2 linked regions of the Anolis sagrei genome follow. The protein of the gene in region 2 binds, or shares a complex with, the protein of the main gene of each other region. Links are inferred from orthologs where the notes say so. Each region holds a gene or a part of one and is shown on either strand. Other genes may lie near its edges.

The links.
Region 1: the proteins of CCKAR (region 2) and CCK are in contact, whole or in part, in a cryo-EM structure (PDB 7MBX), measured with the Homo sapiens proteins. The link is inferred for Anolis sagrei from reciprocal best matches to the Homo sapiens genes CCKAR and CCK. Residues at the interface, in NP_000721.1 of Homo sapiens: Cys94, Phe97, Asn98, Pro101, Asn102, Lys105, Asp106, Phe107, Thr118, Met121, Gly122, Val125, Tyr176, Phe185, Asn194, Met195, Cys196, Arg197, Phe198, His210, Leu213, Leu217, Ile329, Phe330, Ala332, Asn333, Arg336, Ala343, Glu344, Leu347; in NP_000720.1 of Homo sapiens: Asp96, Tyr97, Met98, Gly99, Trp100, Met101, Asp102, Phe103.

The regions. Positions count from the first base shown.
Region 1 is NC_090026.1:76,143,393-76,154,778, reverse strand, and holds the start of CCK (cholecystokinin), read right to left. Parts: upstream 4,707-11,386; 5' UTR 4,533-4,706; intron 1,822-4,532; 5' UTR 1,820-1,821; coding exon 1,573-1,819; intron 1-1,572. UniProt on the Homo sapiens protein: This peptide hormone induces gall bladder contraction and the release of pancreatic enzymes in the gut. Its function in the brain is not clear.
Region 2 is NC_090025.1:113,172,718-113,183,985, forward strand, and holds the start of CCKAR (cholecystokinin receptor type A), read right to left. Parts: upstream 5,117-11,268; 5' UTR 5,110-5,116; coding exon 4,992-5,109; intron 1,852-4,991; coding exon 1,600-1,851; intron 1-1,599. UniProt on the Homo sapiens protein: Receptor for cholecystokinin. Mediates pancreatic growth and enzyme secretion, smooth muscle contraction of the gall bladder and stomach. Has a 1000-fold higher affinity for CCK rather than for gastrin.

The sequences.
Region 1 (11,386 bases), on a different chromosome or scaffold from region 2:
TTTGCTTTATCTCCAACCTAGTGCAGCAGTGATGTAGTTGTATACAATTGTCCCCATAGCAATATACCCTTGCCCTGAAGGAAAGTCCCAAACTACAGGAAGCTGCTTCGATCCCTATCAACAAAACAATTCATGTGATTTTCATCTATTTTGTAAAGCTAGTGGGTCTTGATTTTTTAGTTCAAGACACAAAGCACTCCCAAATATTTTGTATTACAACTAGGATAGCTCATAACATCCTTGCTAGGAGATAACCTATCTTGCTCCATGCCGTAACTACTATGAAATTTGAAGCTATATGTGAACAGAGGGTAGAGAGAGATGCCATCATTATTCCTGCTAATCAAAATGCCCTAGTGCTCTACCATGCAAGCCCTGGCTCTTCTGCAACATTGTTGGTGAACCACAATAGATTTTGCTGTAGGTGAAAAGCTTTTGTAGCCCATTAGGTTATAATTCACATTCTTGCATCTATTCCCGAAGAGATGTAATGGAACACTCAATCTAACAATAAGAGCTTATTTTCATGCTTATTTTTCTTCTCCTGTGAGTAAAATACTACAGCTCTTGACTCTATAATCCTATAGCCGATTAGCCAGTTGTAAGCCCTTCTGAACTCCTTGGGAACTTAAATTGGATTGCACTATAAGCCTCCTTTACAACTCTGGAGCCCGTACTAAGTAATCATTTAATCGTCACAAGGGCTTCATTTAGATTCCATTAAAACAACACCAAAATGCACACCAAAATGTGCATTTGATGATCTCATCTTAATAGCGGAATTAATTATATTGCAAGGGAGCATTAGTTCATAAAAGGAATAGCTGTTACTCAACCGTCTCCTAAATGGCAAGAAAGAACTAGTCCCACTTTTACCTGTCCTTAGATATTTGGACAGTTCGTAAATATGTTTAAATCATATGTTGAGGTATTTTAAAAAGTATTTTGAGTAACAATAGGTCATTTACAGCTGGTGATTCCGAATGTTGAATGTTTCAGAGTTCCAAGCTCTGAATGTTTGTCTGAAGTTTAAAGTTGTGATACCACCTTTCGCATTTGGAATAAACCCCATAGTGGATGCATCACCTCAGTGACAAAGAAGATAGCAGGCACCACTTGTCTTTTCTATATAGGTCATGACTTATAATGTAGATAATTCTGGTCATCACTATATAAAATGGAATCCAGAAAGAGTCTTTGAAGGTCCTCATAATACCTGGATCTGGGGAGGCATTAGTTACATGCCTTCTCTTCTTAATACATCTATGTAGAGAGAGTCAGCATAGTGTAGTAGTGATTTGAGCATTGGATGTCTGGAGTACAGGGTTCAAATCCCTGCTAAGCCATGCAAACTCACTGGGTGACCTTGGACAAGTCACACTCTCTCAGCCTCAGAAGAAGGCCTCTGAATAAATCTTGCCAAGAAATCCCCATGAAAGATTTGCCTTAGGAATTGGCTTGATGGCAGATAACAACAACCAATGTGTGTGGAAGTGAGGTTGTGCAGGTAGATGGGAAATTACTGAAATATCTTTGCTTAGATACACTTAGAACATGTATCAAAGTATTTACCTCTTCGGGCTTGCTGGAGGTATTTGGCTAAAAGAGCTACCATGTTGGCTTTCTGGTCCACGCTGCCATCAACCTGCCGGATAGTTTTCTCTGCATCTGGGTTACGGATGTGCCGGTGGTTTTCCAGCAAATTCTGCTCAAGATCGGTGGCCACAGGATTGCCATTGTGGGAGCCCGATGTCTGCTGTCCTGAGGAGCTCATGGACAGCACAGCCAGGAGGAGAAAGAGGCAAATCCCACTATACATAGCTAAAGAGAAAAGAGGAGAAAACATGATGAAAATCCTGAGTGGATAGATGGAGGGAGACAGCTTTGAATTTACAAGAAATGTGCTTACAAAATCAAGGTTTAAACCTTATTGTTGATGGCCATTTCTCCAGCAGCCTAGAGATGCTTTGGGTGAAAACTACTCTATTACATCACCAAATAAACCCCACTGGGAGCCTGCAAGTCTTAAGACAACAAGTGGCTTGAAGACCAAGGCTTTCCATACATTTCTTCTCTTGGTTAGATTTGAAAACATCTTATCTAATGAAGGGATCTGAAGATCTTGAAAGGTTACACATGTCTTTTCAATCTTTCCCTTTTAGTCCATTGAAGGTATTGCCAAAACAAGAGTTCTAAATGTCAGTTGTTTCCAAACATGAATATATATCTCTCTCTCTATCTCTATCTCTCTATCTCTCTATCTCTCTCTCTCTCTCTCTCTCTCTCTATCTATCTATCTATCTATCTATCTCAAGACTTCAGAAGTATCACATACAGATCAGTGGCTGAAATTGCTAATCACAGAAAATCAATCTATGGGAATTCTGTTTTGTGGAAAACTTACATCTTTCTGTGATATTGTTTTGAAGTGAAGTACTTCATGGCATTTTTTTTGGCTTGGATTTTTAGGCTATGCAGAATTCAGTATATGGAGTGATGGAAGGAGGGCTAATTTTGCCCTTTTATAAGTATGATCTGTTCGCTTTTTGGGGGGAAAGTTGGTGAAAGCTTTACATCAGTGTTTTTGCAGTTGTTATTTTTCACTGTGCAGCTTTTCCAAATTCTAGAAAAACTAATAGGGTCGACTTCATTCTCAGATTATTTCAATGTAGACCAAATTGATATGCAATGCCCCCAGATCATATCATGGTGTTAATTTCTCTGGGGTAACCAATGCAAATTGGAATAAAATTGAAATGATTTGATTCTCTTGAGAGAAAAATGCTACACTGATTTGGTTATGAATAAAGAGTGAATGAAAGTTCTGATCTGCAAGAAAGGGATTTCACCATCCTAAGTAACCTTAGGTAGTTTCATATGCATTCCTTCAAAATAGATAGATATAGATGGAGATAGATATCTGCCATTTGTGAAGATGCTTTGATTTAGAGAGGAAAACAGTATGACTAGAAATGTGTGTGTGTGAGAAAGAGAGAGAGGGAGAGAGAGAGAGAGAGAGTTGTACTGATTCTATGATTTGACACATTTATGAAATAATCACACTTCATATATTGTAGTTGTTAGATAAAACTACCTGAAAATATAGCAGAGCATCCAAAAAATCAAACAGGATACTTAAAAGTTGAGCATTCAGCTCATTAGTGAGCAGAGCATGAAGTGCCGTTGGTTATGAGTGTAAAGAATTTAGAGCTTAGGCAGGCAAAGATGTAGAGTCCAATCTTAAAAATCACAAAAGGTTTGTTTACAATAATAAACAATAACTGCATTTCTTAGTAAAGAACTGGATCTAACACCCATCTCTTTCAAAGAGAGGGGGAAAAAACACCAATCACTACATGTATCTGACACGCACACAGAGAGAGATCTCAAAGCACACAGCACATACTCAGATGTAACCCCCCCCCCCAAAAGTCAGATTTAAAAAGATTTGCAGTAGAAAAGTATCCAATCTACACAAACAATCAGAATAAGAGCAGAAACAGAGAGGAGAGAAGAAATAGATACATTCCTATCTGTCAAACAGGAGACATGGGGGAAATGAAACACTTAGCCTATTCTAACCAACTTGTTCCTCATTAAGAACTTGAGACTTGGGCAGTGTGGGGTTGAATTCCAACACTACTATCCCATTTTACACACAGAAATCAGAAGAAGAGCCATCCTCAACTAAGGGTGTGCATGTACCACATATTTTAGCAGAAGAGTTTAACATGTATCCTACACAGCAAGAAAAGTTGGCTCAATCATGCCGAATTCTGTACTGCGTGCTAAAAACATAAACCTCCTTAAGTATTACACATACTACACAGTACATACATAACACCTTTTTTTGAAACTCTAAAGCTAGGTTGGTTGTACGGGGAATAAAAATGAGTCAAAACATCATCCTGCATCTAGTTTCCCTGTACCAATTAACAAATCAGAAGTAGGAATGTAAAAGGATAAAAAGACTACAGTTTCCTAGACACCTATCACCTAATCCATTAAAACTATAAACTATACACATTTACCTTTAAACTCAAGGTGTCTTACTTTTAAGTAGACATATATACGACTGCATTGCATGTTGGATTGAAATAAAATAACACTTGCTCTCAATACTTTTAGGACTGGAGTTTCAGGGGGAAAAAAAACAAACATCCCATATTTCTGTTCTTTATGCAAAAGTATCTTTGTCTTTTAGCACAGCGGAGACAAATTCACACAGCAAAAGTTCTGGCTAAAAAAGAACAAGTTAAACATCCAGTCTTGTGAAACAGGATTCTGTTAACCAACATCATCCACATTAGCAAAAGATTCAGAAAAGTTGCAAGCACAACACACAAATAACAATATACTCCTAGAGCTGCCTTGTACGTTTCTGCAGGTTGTAGCTGTCTATATTTTTCCAATTTATCAGTGTAGTCCAAGATAAATGTTCACTTTGAAAAATAAGAAAATTACTTCTGCCTTTGGTTTTTCACCACCCAGCCAGCTCTAATGAAACTTAGAAGTTTGTTATGGTATCTTACCTTTGGAATGAGGTGCAGATTCCTGCTGTACACCAGAGAGAAGAGGCAGCCTTGAGGTGGTGGCTGAGCCCTTCTGCTCTGCCTCTTAAATAGTCTGGTTCAACAATGGGAAGAACGTAGTTTGTTTGCACAGATCTGACGCAACTGTGGGAGCACCACATGCTTCGCTGCATGGATGGAGCAAAGCAGCGAAGCATATGGGGAGGGGAGGATGCGAGGGGGCTTGGAGAGATGAAAGCATCCTAAAGAAAAGACAGGACTCCTGGAGTTTAATCCTGTCGGTGTTTCCCTGACAATTCTTCCTGTCCCGTAACTAAAACTAAACAGCGCTGAGCCTCCCAAATGAATGTCCTGAAAGTTATTTCTTATCTTCCCTGAACAGTCAGATTTTCTTTTGGTTAGCCAATGAAGGGATATTCTTTTTGTGTCAGGAGCGATTTGAGAAACTGCAAGTTGTGTCTGGAGTGAGAAAATTGGCTGTCTGCAAGGATGTAGCCCAGGGGACGCTGGGATGTTTTTGATGTTTTACCATCCTTGTGGGAGATTTCGTTCATGTCCCCACATGTGGAGCTGGAGCTGACAGAGGGAGCTCATCTTCACTCTCCCTGGATTCGAAACTCTGACCTGTCAGTCAGTCTTCAGTCCTGCCGGCACAAGGGCTTAACCCATTGTGCCACCGGGGGCTCAGGGATGCACTCTATGCAATGTCAGTTCCATCAAACTAAACATCATTCCTTGCAGGCACACAGCAAACTTATGAAGCACTGGATATTCTTCTCCCAAATACCCAATGGGAATACAATTAGGTATGCATTATCATTTTAAAGGTGTATTGGAGCAGTTGGTAGTACAATATTAATTTGTATTAATGATGATGATGACTGTTGAAAACTATGTCAGATATTCCAGAAACTGATTCTAGACCCCTGAGTACAGAACCCTTTACTTCTAAACAGGCAAACATAAAATTACACTGTAAATATAGACTGGTATGGGAACCAATACTGTGTAGTGATTTGAGAATTGGACTATAACGCTGAGGACCAGCATTTGATTCTCTTCTCAATCTTGAAAACCTACTAGGTTTTTGTTTTTGTTTTGTTTTGTTTTTTGTGTGTGTCAGGAGCGACTTGAGAAATTGCAAGTTGCTTCTGGTGTGAGAGAATTGGCCGTCTGCAAGGAGGTTGCCCAGAGGACGTTGGGATGTTTTTGAAGTTTTACCATCCTTGGGAGAGGCTTCCTTAGTGTCCCCACATGGGGAGCTGGAGCTGACAGAGGGAGCTCATCTTCACTCTGCCCAGATTCAAAACTCTGACCTGTTGGTCTTCAGTCCTGCCGGCACAAGGGCTTAACCCATTGTTTCACCGGGGGCTCAGGGATGCATCAAACAGTTCCATCAAACTAAACATCATTCCTTGCAGGCGCACAGCTGCTTTGACTCTTCTGCCCCATTTCTGCTACATGCGACATGATGGACTTCCTAGCTGCCATCCATATGTGCACTGAATCCAGAACAAGTTGAACATTATTTAATTTTATTTCTGGTGGCTTCATGTGCAACTAACTTTGTCTCAATCCACAACAAGGGATCAAACATTTTTGAGTGTACCTGCTTGAAGAGAAGTTTAATCATCAACAATGACGAAAAAACTGAGTTCAGGTAATGTAACCAATGCCTTCTGCATATATGACAGCTTAACAATAAATTGAAATGGGTTATCATAGATGGAAGCATAGCCCAGTGAAATGAAACAGAATGTTACCTATTAAAGAGAACATGTTATCCTGCCCCAGATTGGGAGGAAAAAACAGCGTATCCCCCGCCTCTTCTACATCTACGCCTACATCTAAGTCTACGTCTACGTCTATATCTATCTATCTATCTATCTATCTATCTATCTATCTATATAAAAATGTAATGTTTGTTTGAGGTATTAACAGAACTCGAAATCCGCTGGACAAATTGACACCAAATTTGGACACAAGACACCTAACAACCCAATGTATGTCCTTCACTCAAAAAAGTTGATTTTGTCATTTGGGAGTTGTAGTTGCTGGGATTTATAGTTCACCTACAATCAAAGAGCATTCTGAACCCCACCAACGATGGAATTGAACCAAACTTGGCACACAGTTCTCCCATGACAAACAGAAAATACTGGAAGGGTTTGGTGGGCAGTGTCCTTTGGTTTTGGAGTTGTAGTTCACCTATATCCAAAGATCACTGTGGACTCAAACAATGATGGATCTGGACCAAACTCTACACAAATACTCAATATGCCCAAATGTGAACACTGGTAGAGTTTGGGGAAAATAGAATCTTGACATTCGGGAGTTGTAGTTGCTGGGATTTATAGTTCACCTACAATCAAAGAGCATTCTGAATTCCACCAACGATAGAACTTGGCCAAACCCCCCACACAGAACCCTCATGTGGGCCACAGCAACGTGTGGCAGGAGATGGCGAGTTTACAATAAAAGTGAAAATATGTTTGCTTGTATGTATGTTTGTATGTGTTTTCCAAGAAGTTTGTATGCAAGTTCCTGGGAGTCCTTTGATGCCCACCTTCCTAATGCCATGACCTCTAAATACAGTTCCTCATGTTGTGGTGTCCCCTCACCATAAAAGTATTTTCATTGCTACTTCATAACCGTGATTTTGCTACTGTTATGAATTGTAATATCAATATCTAGTATGCATGATGTATTTTCATTCACTGGACCAAATTTTGCACAAATACCCGATATGCCCAAATCTGAATACTGGTGGGGTTGGGGAGGATTGATTTTGTCATTTGGGAGTTGTAGTTGTGGGGATTTATTGTTCACCTACAATCAAAGAGCATTCTGAACTCCACCAATGATGGAATTGAACCAAACTTGGCACACAGAACTCCCACAACCAACAAAAAATATTGGAAGAGTTTGGTGAGCATTGGCCTTGAGTTTTGGAATTGTAGTTCACCTGCTTCCAGAGAGCACTGTGGACTCAAACAATGACAGATTTGGACCAAACTTGGCACGAATACTCAATATGCCCAAATGTGAACAATGGTGGAGTTTGAGGAAAATAGACCTTGACATTTTGGAGCTGTAATTACTGGGATTTATAGTTCACCTATAATCAAAGAGCATTCTGAACCCCACAAATAATGGAATTGAGCTAAACTTCCCTCCCTCCAGCCCCGCATGTTCTCCCTCACCCGCGCATGTGCTCCATGCTACCATGCGCCAAGCACACCTGCTCTCCTCTCCCCGCTTGGAGTCTCAGAAACAGCCCTCCCCTTGGCCTTCTCTGCCAAAGAGGTTCCTAAGACCATCAGAAATATATTCTTTCTGATGGTCTTTGGCAACTGCTCTAAAAACTGCCTTTGCTACCAACGTGGGCTAGAACTTCACCAAACAAGAGCTCCCAGGATTCCATAGCATTGAGCAGTAGAAGTTAAAGCGGCATACACTGTAATAATTCAGATGCACCCAGGGCACTTGGGAGTTGTAGTTTTATGTGATCTCTTGTCTCCTCTAGCAAAGTGGGCTGTGGACTCACCAAACAACTCCCAGGATTCCATAGTATTGAGCGGTGGACGTTAAAGTGGTATCCAACTGCATATGTTCAGATACGCCCAGGCACTTGGGAGTTGTAGTTTTATGGGATCTCTCCCTTCTCTACCAAAGAGGGCTGGGAACCTCACCAAACAACAACTCCCAGCATTCCATAGTATTGAGCCCTGGAACTGCATTCATTCAGATGCACCTAGACACTTGGGAATTGTAGTTTTATGGGATCTCTTGCCTTCTCCATCAAAGTGGGCTGGGAACCTCATCAAACAACAACTCCCAGGATTCCATAGTTTTGAGCCCTCGAACTGCATTCATTCAGATGCGCCCAGACACTTGGGAATTGTAGTTTTATAGGATCTCTTGCCTTCTCTACCAAAGTGGGCTGGGGCCTCACCAAACAACAACTCCCAGGATTCCATAGTATTGAGCCCTGGAACTGCATTCATTCAGATGCGCCCAGGCAATTGGGAATTGTAGTTTAATGGGATCTCTTGCCTTCTCTACCAAAGTGGGCTGGGGCCTCACCAAACAACAACCACAGGATTCCATAGTATTGAGTCCTGGAACTGCATTCATTCAGATGCACCCAGGTACTTGGGAATTGTAGTTTTATAGGATATCTTGCGTTCTCTACCAAAGTGGGCTGGGGCCTCACCAAACTACAACACGCCCAGGAATCCATAGTGTTGAGCCATGGCTGTTAAAAGTGGTGACAATCAAACTGCTCTTTGACCGCCTATAGCTGTCAAGAAGCTTGACTTCTTAGTGATAGATCTGTATCAGCTGCTGTTTAGGAAGACCCCAAACCCATCCAGCTTTCCTTGGCTTTGCCTGAGGGCTTTTCCTTCCTCAGCCCCAAATTGGGGACCTGGACCAGGGAAACGTCTGAGTCTGAAGCACCGGCTCTGCTCTTGAGCTCCTGGGTCTGGCTGGAGCCTCCTCTTTGCCTGGCTGTCTTGGGCGTGGGCGCCGGGGATCCATCTGGCACAATTGATCCTCCCTGGCGCCGTCCTCTGGGACCATTGATCCCCTTGGCCAGCTTCCCCCTCGCTCGCCTGCCCTTCTCTCTTGAGAAATCGCTCTATTTGCGGGGATTTGGGCGCCTTTTCCGGGACGGGGGCGCCTCCCTCGCTTCCCCATCGACTCCAAGCCGCGCCTCTCCCGGCTCTCAGCATCACCCTCGCTCAGGGCATCAGATCCCAGGAGCTGGGGGCTGTCTTTCAGGGAAAGAGCTTGCTTTCAGACCACCTCTGAGCCTAAGAAATCCCCATGAAGCTGCTTAGCACACAGAGAAGCTTGCATCAAAATACCAGCTGATTGGATGTCAAAAGCTAAAGATTTTAGACCCTTTTTCAAAACTTTCCTGAATGTATTTCCCTTTCAGGTGACGCCAAATGAAGTGTAAAGATACAAAGAGTGGATGCAAAACCTCACCAAAACATTTGGAAAAGTCTTACTTTCTTTAAAATGTATCTAATTACAGTCTATGTGAGCTCCTGTGTGAGGTTGCATTTGGAACATTGACATCTGGAAGTGGATCCAATAATAATAAAAAACATAAACATAAACATAATAATAATAATAATAATAATAATAATAATTTGCCGATACATCACATAGTCCTAGACACTTGGAAAATGTCTGACATGTGATGCAATACAACAGCCAGCAGAGTGATCTTGTCTGCTGTGTTTCAAATAATAGTATTAACAACAATAATAATAATTTGCTGATACATCACACAGTCCTAGACACTTCGAAAGTGTCCAACGTGTGATCCAATTCAACAGCCAGTAGAGTTATCTTGTCTACTGTGGACTCATCTTGTTGTGTTTCAAATAATAATAATAGTAATAATAATAATAATAATAATAATAATAATTATTCACCGATACATCACACAGTCCTAGACACTTGGAAAGTGTCCAACGTGTGATCCAATACAACAGCCAGCAGAGTGATCTTGTCTACTGTGGACTCATTTTGTTGTGTTTCTAATAATAATAATAATAATAATAATAATAATAATTATTATTATTATTATTATTATTTGCCGCTACATCACACAGTCCTAGACACTTGGAAAGTGTCTGACATGTGATCCAATACAACAGCCAGCAGAGTGATCTTGTCTGCTGTGGACTCATCTTGCTGTGTTTCTACTACTACTACTACTACTAATAATAATAATAATTCGCCGATACATCAAACAGTCCTAAACACTTGGAAAGTGTCCGATGTGTGATCCAATATAACAGCCAGCAGAGTGATCTTGTCTGCTGTGGACTCAATTTGCTGTGTTTCTAATAATAATAATAATAACAATTCACCAATACATCACACAGTCCTAGACACTTGGAAAGTGTCCGACGTGTGATCCAATACAACAGCCAGCAGAGTGATCTTGTCTACTGTGGACTCATCTTGTTGTGTTTCAAATTATTATTATTATTATTATTATTATTATTATTATTTGCCGCTACACCATACAGTCCTAGACACTTGGAAAGTGTCTGACGTGTGATCCAATACAACAGCCAGCAGAGTGATCTTGTCTGCTGTGGACTCATTCTGTTGTGTTTCTAATAATAATAATAATAATAATAATAATAATAATAATTCGCCGATACATCATACAGTCCTAGACACTTGGAGAGTGTCCGACGTGTGATCCAATACAACCACCAGCAGAGTGATCTTGTCTGCTGTGGACTCATCTTGCTGTGTTTCTAATAATAATAATAATAGTAATAATAATAATAATAATAATAATAATAATAATTCACCGACACATCACACAGTCCTAGATACTTGGAAAGTGTCCGACGTGTGATCCAATACAAAGCCAACATATTCCATATGTTTGCCCATTCTTGAATTTTCCTCCAACACCACAGTTCAAAAGCCTCTATCTTCCTTCGCTCGGCCTTCCTTATGGTCCAGGTCACTCATCCGTAGGTTACTACAGGGAATACCATTGCTTTAACTGTGCGGATCTTCATTGCCAGTGTGATGTCTCTTCACTTTTTATTTCTATTTTTTATATTTCTACTTTTTTCTATATGCTTTTACCAATAAAAACTACTTTTGGATTCCTGGTTGGTGTTGAGTGCAAGTGAAACCTGAGTGGGGTGTAACACTTTGTATGTAATGGGACTTGCATATCCATGAATGTTTGTATCCTCAGGAATCCTTGAACCATCCCCAATGGATACCAAGGACAACAACAATTATCATCCATATCCATTGTAAGCAAAGACTATGCCTGAGAACATAGGAAGGGTGGTATACAC
Region 2 (11,268 bases):
TACATGCGTTATCAAATATCAGGATTCCTTAGGATACAGCCCTGCCATTTAAATGGCATTACAGTGCTGTACCTATGTAGTGCAAATATACTCTAAAATACTGACAACAAAAACACAACAACAATTCCTCCTACCTCCAAACAAAAACTGTATTCGATCTTTGTTGGCAGTGGCAATATATAAATACCCAAGTAAGACTTCTTACACTTCAGTGCTGACAACTAGCAACAGTGACGTTAATTTCATTGACCATGCTACCCATAAGTACACATGTGTAGATTATAGAAGGCGAAAAAGATGGTCTGACGTTATGCCTAAGTATCCTAAGGATACTGGGAGCACAGTGCAAGACTCACTGGATTTTAGGCACATATTAAAAGCTTGGTTCAGATTCTTCAATGTAATTCTGGGCTTTTAAAAAAATCAGAATCCACTTGTATCCGATTTTGGGAAGATTTCAATAAATAGGATAAAGGTTAAAGGAATTGCTTTGTATCTTGGGGGAAACCAAAACTTTCACAAAAGCACCACATACATGGAGGACATTGCATATGTTTACATTGTTCATTATGGTTTTCAGAGAACCCTTTGAAAGATAGCAGCAACTGGTGTGTTCTGTGTTGATGGGAGTGGTGAATCCACTTTGCATTTTAGTCTGAACTTTGAAGGAACTCTCTAAGGTGCTGAAAGGGATAGTTTTATTAGGAGTTCCTCCATGAAAAAAATCTCTAATAGTCGGCAAGTTGAAGGGCAGCTTGCCCACACCACTAATAATGTTCCCTGCCATGTTCAGCTGCCAGAAAGCATTGGGAAGTACTTTAGGGTATCTGTGCTTCACAAGGGAGACCCACCACAGCTTCGGGCAGCATCCACGCCAACTGGGTGTCAACTAAAGAGCACAATATACTGTAGAAGTGTGCAGCAGTTTGATTGAGAGGGGTTCACTGCTGCCTCCACTCCTTGACTTGGTTAAACAATCACAAAAAACAGAAATGACATCGGCACTCACTCCAGCTCTTACAAATGAATATTTCCACTTTAAAACACGGCACGCAGGAAAGTGTGCCTTGTGTAGAAGTTAATTACTGCTGGGAAATGGTGAGCACTTTCATAATGATTGTTTTAAACTGCTTGTGTTGCAAGGTGTATTTTTGCTTCACTCCCAAATTTGGTGGGAGTGCAATGAATATAAATGTGAAAATGTGTGGTTTTAGCCTCTGCCATGGGAGCATATTCAGAGGTGCCCTGTTGACTGCAAAAAGGTATGAGGAAGGCTATTATGATTATAAGCCATGTGTTGTCTATTTTGGCCTAAATGTTTGGGTGTCACTTTGGCACTGTTATTCTCTTTCAGCCCAATTTACCTCCCAAAATAGTTTGGAAGATAAAATGCGGGAAACAACAAACTCCATTTAGAGCTCCGTGGAGAAATAGTAGGCTATCAAGGTAATAACTTAGAGAAGAAAGGCCCTGGAACTTCTACACCAGGCAAGCAGTTCTTGATAAGGTGACCAAAGATTTCTCAGCACACACATCAATATAGAAAGTTGAAAATGTCTACATCCCTGGCAGAGAGGCATTACTGGTCCATAAACTCACCCATGAAGTAGCTGGTAATTTTACAGAAAGTACTTCCAAAAATGAAATCCTGCAGGAGGTTAGGAATGAGGGTGAAAGGCATGCAGAAGAAACAAAGCATGAGATCACTGATGGCCAGCGACAGCAGGAAGATGTTTGTGACAGTCCTCATTCTCTTGTTTCGGATCAACACAATCATTACCAGGGTGTTGCCCAGGACACTGAGCAAAAAGATCAGGGAATATAAAATAATCCGAACTGTCTGCCCCAAATCTGAAAGTAAACAAAAATGAGAAAATATCAGAAGAGACACTGCAAGAGGTTACAATTGTTTTTCTTTGCAGTATAATGAACTATCCTTTGCTTTATTTTTTTTTATTCAAATTGTGAGCCATTTTGGGTCTCCTACTGGGAGAAAATTACATAAAGAAATAAATAATTGGTAAATAATGTGAGTGCATGAAAAGCAGTAGTGGATATTCTACTAAAAATGCTTGTTTTAGTAAGATGAACTTTCCTTATCCTAGTTTGAAATGTTACCCAGTAAGCACCTTATTCCTTTAATCTTTCTTTCTGCATATGTAGGATAATACTGTATAAAGGTAAAGGTTTTCCCTTGACATTACGTCTAGGTATGTCTGACTCTGGGAGGTGGTGCTCATCTCCATTTCTAAGCCAAAGAGCCGGTGTTGTCTGTAGACACCTCCAAGGTTATGTGGCTGCATGGAGCACTGGTACCTTCCCACCGAAGTGGTACCTATTGATCTACTCACATTTGCAAGTCTTCAAACTGCTAGGTTGGCAGAAGCCGGGGCTAACAGTGGGAGCTCACTCTGCTCCCTGGATTTAAACAGCCAACCTTTTGGTCAGCAAGTTCAGCAGCTCAGCGGTTTAACCCACTGTGCCACTGATCATCTATGATCATTCAAGAAGCCCCTTTCACATCCTTCCAGGGGCATATTTACAAGGCAAAGTAAAATGAGAGTATTTCCCTCTCCCAGTAGCAATTATGTTCACCTTCTCCAGTGAAATTTTCTTTTACTCCCCAAATTCTTCTTTTATCAGTCTTTTTATGCTTGTCAAGCTCCTTCTTGTCCTCTCTCTATCTGGAGCCTTTTTAAAAGAAGCATTTATATTGGGAAGGAGGTCTGGAGAAACACAGACTTTGGGCAGCAGCATGTCTTCAGTAACCAATGCACTATACCTTAAGCTGGGAAAGAATGGACTTCTGCTCTAGCTGATCACAATATAATTTTATATGTCAGCCTACACCAGGCAAGGTGAACAGCTGCCTCCAGAATTCCTTACTGAGCAGGTATGAATAACAAAGAGAGGGAAAAGGGAAAACAGGTATGTTTGCCTCACCAGATACTCCTAAACACATTTTTAAAGGGATAGATCTATAATTCTATCTATGGAAGTCCAAATCATAAGAAGAGTGGCCACTGGGGAAAAAAATCCCTGGATTGATTTTGGAATAAGTCTTGGTTTTCAGAAGATTCAATTCATTTTGTTTATTTGTGCAAGACTTCTCTGGAGAGGTTAATTTCATATGTGCATATTTTTAGTTCTGAATAAAATGTTTGCTGTTTATCAGTCTACTTTTTTGTGCTGTAGGAATCTACCTGAGTATTTCTATTTACACCTGCCTCTGATGACAAGATTTCTATGAAAGGCATAATGCCCAGGCACACATGTACTTCACTGAGGTATACATGTATTAACTGTTCACACTGCCTTTGTTAACTGTTCCATCTCTTTTTCTTTGAAGTCTACATTGTATTGCTGAATATTCAACTGATGTTTCACATTATTGCAATACTAGAAATTTGGAGATTGAAGAAAACATTCACTAGGGGAGCGGAGGCAGTGGCATGAGCGGGGGTTCCTTTTATTTTGCCCCTTGCCTATAGCTAGGCATCTGCTTCTGTCCTATTCTATCCGGTGCCATAACTGTGCACCTGCTAAAATTTCCTGTTCCAAAGTATTGTTACAAGCCCCAAAGCCCTGTCTTTGTAACTGACCTGTTTCAGCTACAGTTGGAACAGCGCATTTGGCAGCTATGGAATTTCCAGCCTGAATTAACTACTGGAATCCAACATGTGTGCAAGTGTTAAGTGTAATTTGCATGGGAAAGAATTCAGAGCCTAGAAACAGAATTTCTGTAGGACAGCTATAAGAATCACCTCATAAGCATGATCAGTGACCAAAAAAGCCAATTTTCCAGCTCTCGAAAAATGAGAGGTAAGAGGAAAGGTGCTTAACCCATTTCCATGCTGGCTACATTTCCTTAGCCTGCTCCCTCTCCAGGGTCCTTCCACACAGCCCTATATCCCAGAATATCAAGGCAGAAAATCCCACAATATCTGCTTTGAATTGGGTTATCTGAGTCCACATTCAGATAATGTGGGATTTTTTTTTTTGCCTTGATATTCTAGAATATAGGGCTGTGTGGAAGGGCCCTCCAGTTACTTCTCTTCCAGATGGCTTTCTGAGTTCTACTTGCTAGTTAACTTAAGATGGGTAGCTGGGCTTGAGGAACAGAGGGGAAACCTGGAAGAAAGGTGATACATGGAGGAAGGGTTAAGCAGCCATTTGTGCTTGTTATTTCTTCCTCGCCAGTATCCCCTTCCCATCTCTTTTTTGACATCATATTGGGAATTTTGTATTTGCTACCAAACATGTAGTTCTATCCTAAAAGGGTAAAAAAACTGTCACAGTGGTTGGATTGTAACATTAGTTCAGGTTCTGCAAAAAGCTTGGAAAAGGCTGCATCTAGGTACAATGAAACACAGATCTGGTGTGTATTTGGATCAGTTGCTCTGTCAAGTATAGTTTTTAATTGTTTTTAGATTCGTTGATTTATCTACCAGGAATACACCACATGCTTCCTTTCAGAAATCTGGCATACTCTGCTTGTACTTTATCACCTCTTATTGCAATCGAACACCTCACAAATTGTGAAGAATTGTAAACCACTGACTTAGGAGGTTTGCAAAGCTTATCAGCTACCAGGAGAGCAACATAGGTCTCTACATGATTTATAGTTGAATCTATTTTTTCTCTTTTGTACCATGTAATATTTAATCTATTTATGTCTTCTATGCATAATACTGTTCATAACAGCAGTCCTGATTTTCTTTGAGAAAAGCTATTTGATATTTTCTAGTGTTTTAACTTTCTCTTTTGAACATTTTCTGTCTTGACTTACAACGGCTATTTTTTCTTGTCAACCTGTACATTATTCTTTAAATGCAGTTATAATCAGAAAGTCACTACATTAATTTCTAGCATTCGCTTTCATCAAAACACATCCACAAAAAACCAGTTTGTCACTTAAAATCTTGCTTAAATTATTGACTATAGATTAGTTACAGGTGAAACTATCTAGTTTATTTTTCAAAGGTACCTACCTTTATAAAGCTGACGATGATTCCTGCAGTAAAATGTATTATTTTCATAGTCGAGCTCAGACAGGAGTAAGGAAATATTGTGGTCGAAGCCAAATATGGTACTATTAAGTTTATCCATGCTTCACTTTCCAGAAAATGCAGAAAATGCAGTTCGAAGCTTATCTGTTCATTCTTTTGATGAATGCACACAGGGCTTTGAAAAATTCTGTAGCAGGAGGATTTGACAGGAGAGAGAGCTGTCCAAGCCAAAGTAGTCCTTTTTCAGTCACCCATGGGTAATGCTTTGTCCACAGTATGCTGTGAAGCATGGGAACGGTTGCTTCTAATAAGATATGAGACAGCTTGGATGCCGCAGAGAGAAATGCATGCATATACACAAGCACTCCGTTCCCTCTCTCTCCTAGGTTCCTCCCTCTCCTTTCTACTGAATTACTGACTGAGCTGGTGTTGGGATCATAACCATACTAAAGAATGATTACAAAATTAACCCCTAGTACAGCTGCTCACTGCTCCCATATGGTCAAGACTTCCTCCATACGCAGAGATTTATAAGCCTGAGTTAGTAAATCAATTGCAATTCAAAGTGCCACAAATAAGCTTCCTGCAGCTTGCTCTTAGACATATTTACTCAGAAGTAAATCTAGTGAGTTCAGTGGGATTGACTCCAGGCTACACAGACTAACATACTGAGGCAACAATGTTTGAAAGGATATTAAGCATTATTCCTTTCAAAGTACATATAACTTGTTTTCTGTTTCTCTTAGATATTAACTCTTTATTTATTTAAATTAGTTCTAAACAGAAGTTCGTCCGATGGATTCTAGGACAATCTCCAACAGACTCATGAAGAATTCAAACAAAATATAAACACAATATCCTTTGTAGTCAAATGTCAGACTAGAATTCTCCCTGCTTGTAGTGCTTAGAGGTCCCAACATCCACACTACTGACCTCATCAGGCGGGGTACTTTTTGGTGGCATGCACTTTTTTTCTTTACTTTTGTAATGAAACTTGATGGTTCCCATCCCACAACATAGAGCTACTTCTGGTATGGCTCTGCATAAAATTAAAAACAAACAGCAACACAGGAGGCTTCCTGTGAGGTATTGGATCAATGGGGGGAAGCTGGGTGATCAATGCTTTCCCCCATGGGATGAGCCAAAGGGTAATGTCTAACTTATATTCAGTCTAAGCCCTCTCTAGGACTGGACATTCTGTTATAGCATTCTCTTACACCAGTATTTTAAAGTCTAATCACCAGTAAACACAGTGATGGCACAGAAACACCTGAGATTAGTACTTTGGCGAAAATAATTATTTTTCAGAAAGTAGCAATAATGCTGCTATATATCTTCTAGCTTCATGAATTGTGCTGCTTCTAGTTCTACTTCTGCAGTGTTTCACATTTCCAGCCAAGCATATGTGTCTCTGTGGGTGTCAGGGAGGTGGAAGACGCTGGATAGTTGTCCATAATGCAGCGTCTTCAGCTATGGTGAGATAGTGCCAAGTAGAGGCAATTAAGGTTTTCTCAGCATTTGAAAGATAAATAAAGGGATTCCAGATGTTTGTTTTGATAGCGTCTAAATGAAAATCAATTTGGTTTCTTAAATTGACCCCTTGGATTGCTCTGTGTGAGAATAACTTTGTATTTTCTGAAGAAAGTCACCTTTTCCTTGCTCTCCATGATTTGAGATTTTGGCCCTGCTTTCATGTCATGTTTTCCTGTTTGGAAGCGGGAAATCTCATTTGGATACAGTTTTTGATCCAAGTTTTGTGCATTTTGGCTTTACTGTCAGTACAGGACATTATTTATTGCTGCCTCAAGAATACTCTGACTGTAACCTAGATTTTGGAATGACCTTTGCAGCTTATACTTTGGATGTACTTTCAGTTTTGCTTTATACATATACCTTGAAAATACTTTAATACTCTTTACCTTGGAATGTATTTTGAACTAGTTTTTTTCTATAGAACACTCTTTTCTTTAATAAACATTTGATTCGTTGATTGATTCCTGTTGACTGAGCAATATGTGGGCTAAGTAGATCTTCATCTTGGGTGAAAAGGAGTCACATAGGTGGTTGGGCTGCAACAGTGGGGAAAGTCTTTTTATTGTTTTTCTTCACTTTAAAGACAGAGTCTTACTGAGCCCATCAAATGATGTAGGACTGATTCCAGTGGATTTCATCTTTAAAGTGAAGAGAAATGGAGCCTTGTGAAGCCGGGGAAACAATTGGCTTCAAAGCTTTCACTTAATATTTTGGGGAAAAACACATTTTAGAAATGGAGAAATACCTGAAACCCATGGTATGAGCTTGTGTCTTGTGAAGGGCTCTGTCGGTAGCCATTTCTTAAATGTGCAGAAACGCTGATTTTACTGTGTGTGATGACGTCCTTAGAGGATGATTCTCCCCGCTTGCCCTACCCCTCATGTGACAAGATCCTGTATGTGCCTTCAAGTTGTCTGTTGACTTGTAGTGACCACATGGATAAAATGATTTTCTAAGGCAAGGAATATTCAGAGGTGGTGTGGCTAGTTCATTCCCCTGAAAAACGGCCTATAGACCTATTATTTTAATGGTCTTGTATCCAAGTGCAGGCTGAGGACACCTTATTCAGAATTCTGAAATTGGAAGTACTCCAGAATTCAAAACATTCCACATGGATGGCTGAGATAGCAACACCTTTGTTTTCTGATGGTTCAGTGCACACACACTTTATTTCATGCACACTATTATGAAAACCATTGTATAACCTTGCCTTGAGACTATGTGTGTTGGGTATATATGAAACATAATTGAATTTTGTTTAGATTTGGGCCTCAGCTCCAAGACATTTCATTATGTACACAAATACAGGCATTCCAAAATCTGGAAAAAATCTTCTCAAATCCAGAACACTTTTGGTCACAAACATTTCTGGTCTGAGTTTGAGTCCCTCTACGGCGGTTGAGAAGATTGGGATATAAAGGTTTTAAATAATTTTTAAATAATAATTTCAGATAAGTGATTTCAACCTGTACTGATCAGTTTACAAGTTCATATGGGGTTTGGTGACTTTTATGGGAAGAAGATTCCTGATTCCTCAGGTTCCTGGTCATGTTCTATATGTTCAGATTAGTGGTGTTCCCATCTGAGCAAAGACTTGTTGAATCTATATCAGATCCATTTTTAATCAATGTAATTGGTAGATTAAGCCAGCAAAGCTTTAGTTCAGTTGTTGATTGGGGCAAATTGCAATCAGTATGGTTGAGATGGGAAGGCAAATTGGCGTATGCTTTTTTAATCCTTTAAAACCCAACACCAGGCAGACTGGAGTTCTGATAGTGAAAAGTAGCTCTTTGTTCATTTAAAAAACTTCTTTAAGGGCATAATGTCCTTTAAAAATACCTATAATCATTACGTTTTTGGTAATATGCAAATACATTTAAATTTCATTGATTAGACGCCTGATGATTAATCAACTATGAGAGTTTTAATCATCAACCCTAAAATGTATTAGTTTATACAAAGGAATAGGTGATTCCTTTCTGTCAATCACTGCAATGAACAACAGTTTAATTGCAGCAGTATGTGGGAATGGATGGAGATCGCAGCATCCACCCAAAAACAGAAATAGCATAGCTTTGTGAACATACCTTCTGTGCAGCCCATCTTATCCTTCTCCCCAAGGAATGTGACTAAATATTTCTCTCTCTTAAAGTCAGCTTTCTCCTCCTATTCTTCCTCTTTTTCTTGGTGGAACCTGTTACTTCTGTTTGGGTAGACATGACTAATGAATGACTGGTGATAAGCCTATTAACCTTGATAGCTAAATAGTGCCTTTGTTGCTGTATGCTTTCAAGTCATTTCTGATTTAAGGCAAGCCTAAGTTAACACTGGGGCCCAAGGTCACACAGTGGGTTTTTGAACCGACATGTACGTTAAACACTGTACCTCTGAATCCCACATGTTCTAGTCAAGTAACAGGACAGGACTGTGCTGTTGTGCTTTGCCTGTGAGGTATCCGACTAGTTACTTCTGGTAATCAGGTGCTGGACTATGTGGGGGAAATTCCATCCATGCATTGCATGCAGCCCACATGGCTATTGGTTCCTTATCACCATCTGTACTTTCAGTGTCACGTTTATTGTCCTAAAATGGGCCAATTGCACATATAGAAGTCCATAGGAACTGGCTATTTCGGTCCAATTTTGAAAGCCCAGGAGATCCCCCACCAAATCCAGTAGCAACTGGCAACATGATGTGAAGATGGGGCTTAAAGTTGTCATGAGGGTTAATGAATACTTGAAGATTCTACACCTGGACTAAAGAGATATTGATGTGGTGCAGAGAGATATTGATGTAGAGAGATACTGTTGTGACATATTGATGTTTTGTATTTCATACAGTTGGTTCCTGACTGCTCAGTGCCTACTTTCATACCTTGATCAGAATATGCAGAAATACAAAATACAAACCTCTGCATCTGTTTCATGTCTCTAGAAATATATTTCAAATCAGGTATAATATAATGTTGTGCAGCTTTGGCATTTCCTTTCATGTCTGAGCATATTAGCAATTGAAGGGGTTTTTTTTTTGGCTTGAGTCCAGTTGCATCATTAATCTCATCTTCTGGCATTATTTCTTTCTTCATTTTGGAATGACTCATCATAAGATTTTCATATTGGAGGATATTCATAATTATAATTATATATTTTATTTTACATATAATATTACTAATAATATTACAATATAATGGTATAGTACAATATGTTGTTGTTCATTCATTCAGTCGTTTCTGGCTCTTCGTGACTTCATGGACCAGTCCACGCCAGAGCTCCCTGTCGGTTGTAACCGCCCCCAGCTCCTTCAAGGTCAATCCAGTCACTTCAAGGATACCATCCATCCATCTTGCCCTACAATATACAATATTACCTTCAAAGTGCTGATTCTTACCTTTATGGCCTTATATGGCCTGGGGCTGGAGTACCTGAGGGACCGCCTCACCCCTACCAACCCCCAAGATCATTCAGTTCAGACGATCAGAATCTCCTTGAAGTTCCCAATTTTAGGACCTTTCACCTGATGTCTACTAGGTGTAGAGCATTCACGGTGGTGGCTCCTTACCTGTGGAATGCCTTGCCAGCGGAAACACAAGCTCTCCAAGACTTACCATCTTTTTGTCGAGCTTGTAAAACTTATTTATTTAGGCTGGCATTTGAATCTTGCTGATTGAAATTTTCTTTGATTTTAAATGTAATGTATCGCATATGTATATTGTAAACTGCTCCGAGCCTTTGGGGACTGGTGGCATATAAAATTGATAAATAAATAAATAAAATATAGTAATATAGTATAATATAGTAATATAAAATACTGATATTGTACTATGCTAATAATAGAATGTATGTATATATATCTTGTAAGCCACTCTGAGTCCCCTTCGAGGTGAGAAGGGCGGCATATAAATGTCACAAATAAATAAATAAATATTCAGATGTGGTATACCGGTGAAGCCTTCTGCACAGCACTTGCTCTTTTAGAGTCAGCTAAAACACCACTGCCATTGCCTTTGAAATATCCTCTTCCAGTATTAATCCCCATGCGGAGTCCCTGGTGGTGCAATGAGTTAAGCCCTTGTGCTGGCAGGACTGTTGACCAAAAGGTTGGTGGTTTAAATCTGGGGAGCAGGTTGAGCTCCTGTCTGTCAGCTCCAGCTTCCCATTTGGGCACATGAGAGAAGCCTTCCATGGGATGGTAAAACATCTGGGCATCCCCTGGAAAATGTCCTTGCAGACAGCCAATTCTCTCACACCAAAAACGACTTGCAGTTTCTCAAGGTACTCCTGACACAAAGAAAAAAAATCACTCCCCATGCACCCCAATACTGCTGCTACCGAATCACTGTTTAATACTTATACTGAAGTAAAATACTGTTTGATATGGGTGATCTTACCACAAGCATGGTTTAGCCCTTCAGAGGAGCACCAATCACACTAATATGAGCTGATAGTGCCATGGTACACCACAATAGAGCTGCAAGTCTAAATACATATCTAAATTATAGAAAGACAAAAAAACTACTTGGGTGTCAATGTCTGCAGAAAAATGGGGAAAGGCCTGAGATAAGGGGCACAAACAAGGGAAGGCAAAGAGGGAAAAAGAATAAAGATTTCTGAGGAAAAAAGTGAATAAGCTCAACTGGGGAAAAAATGGGGCTTGTTATCCACTGGGGTTTATTCTAGGTCTCCTGTAGATACCAAAAACTGAGGATGCTCAAGTCCCATTATATACA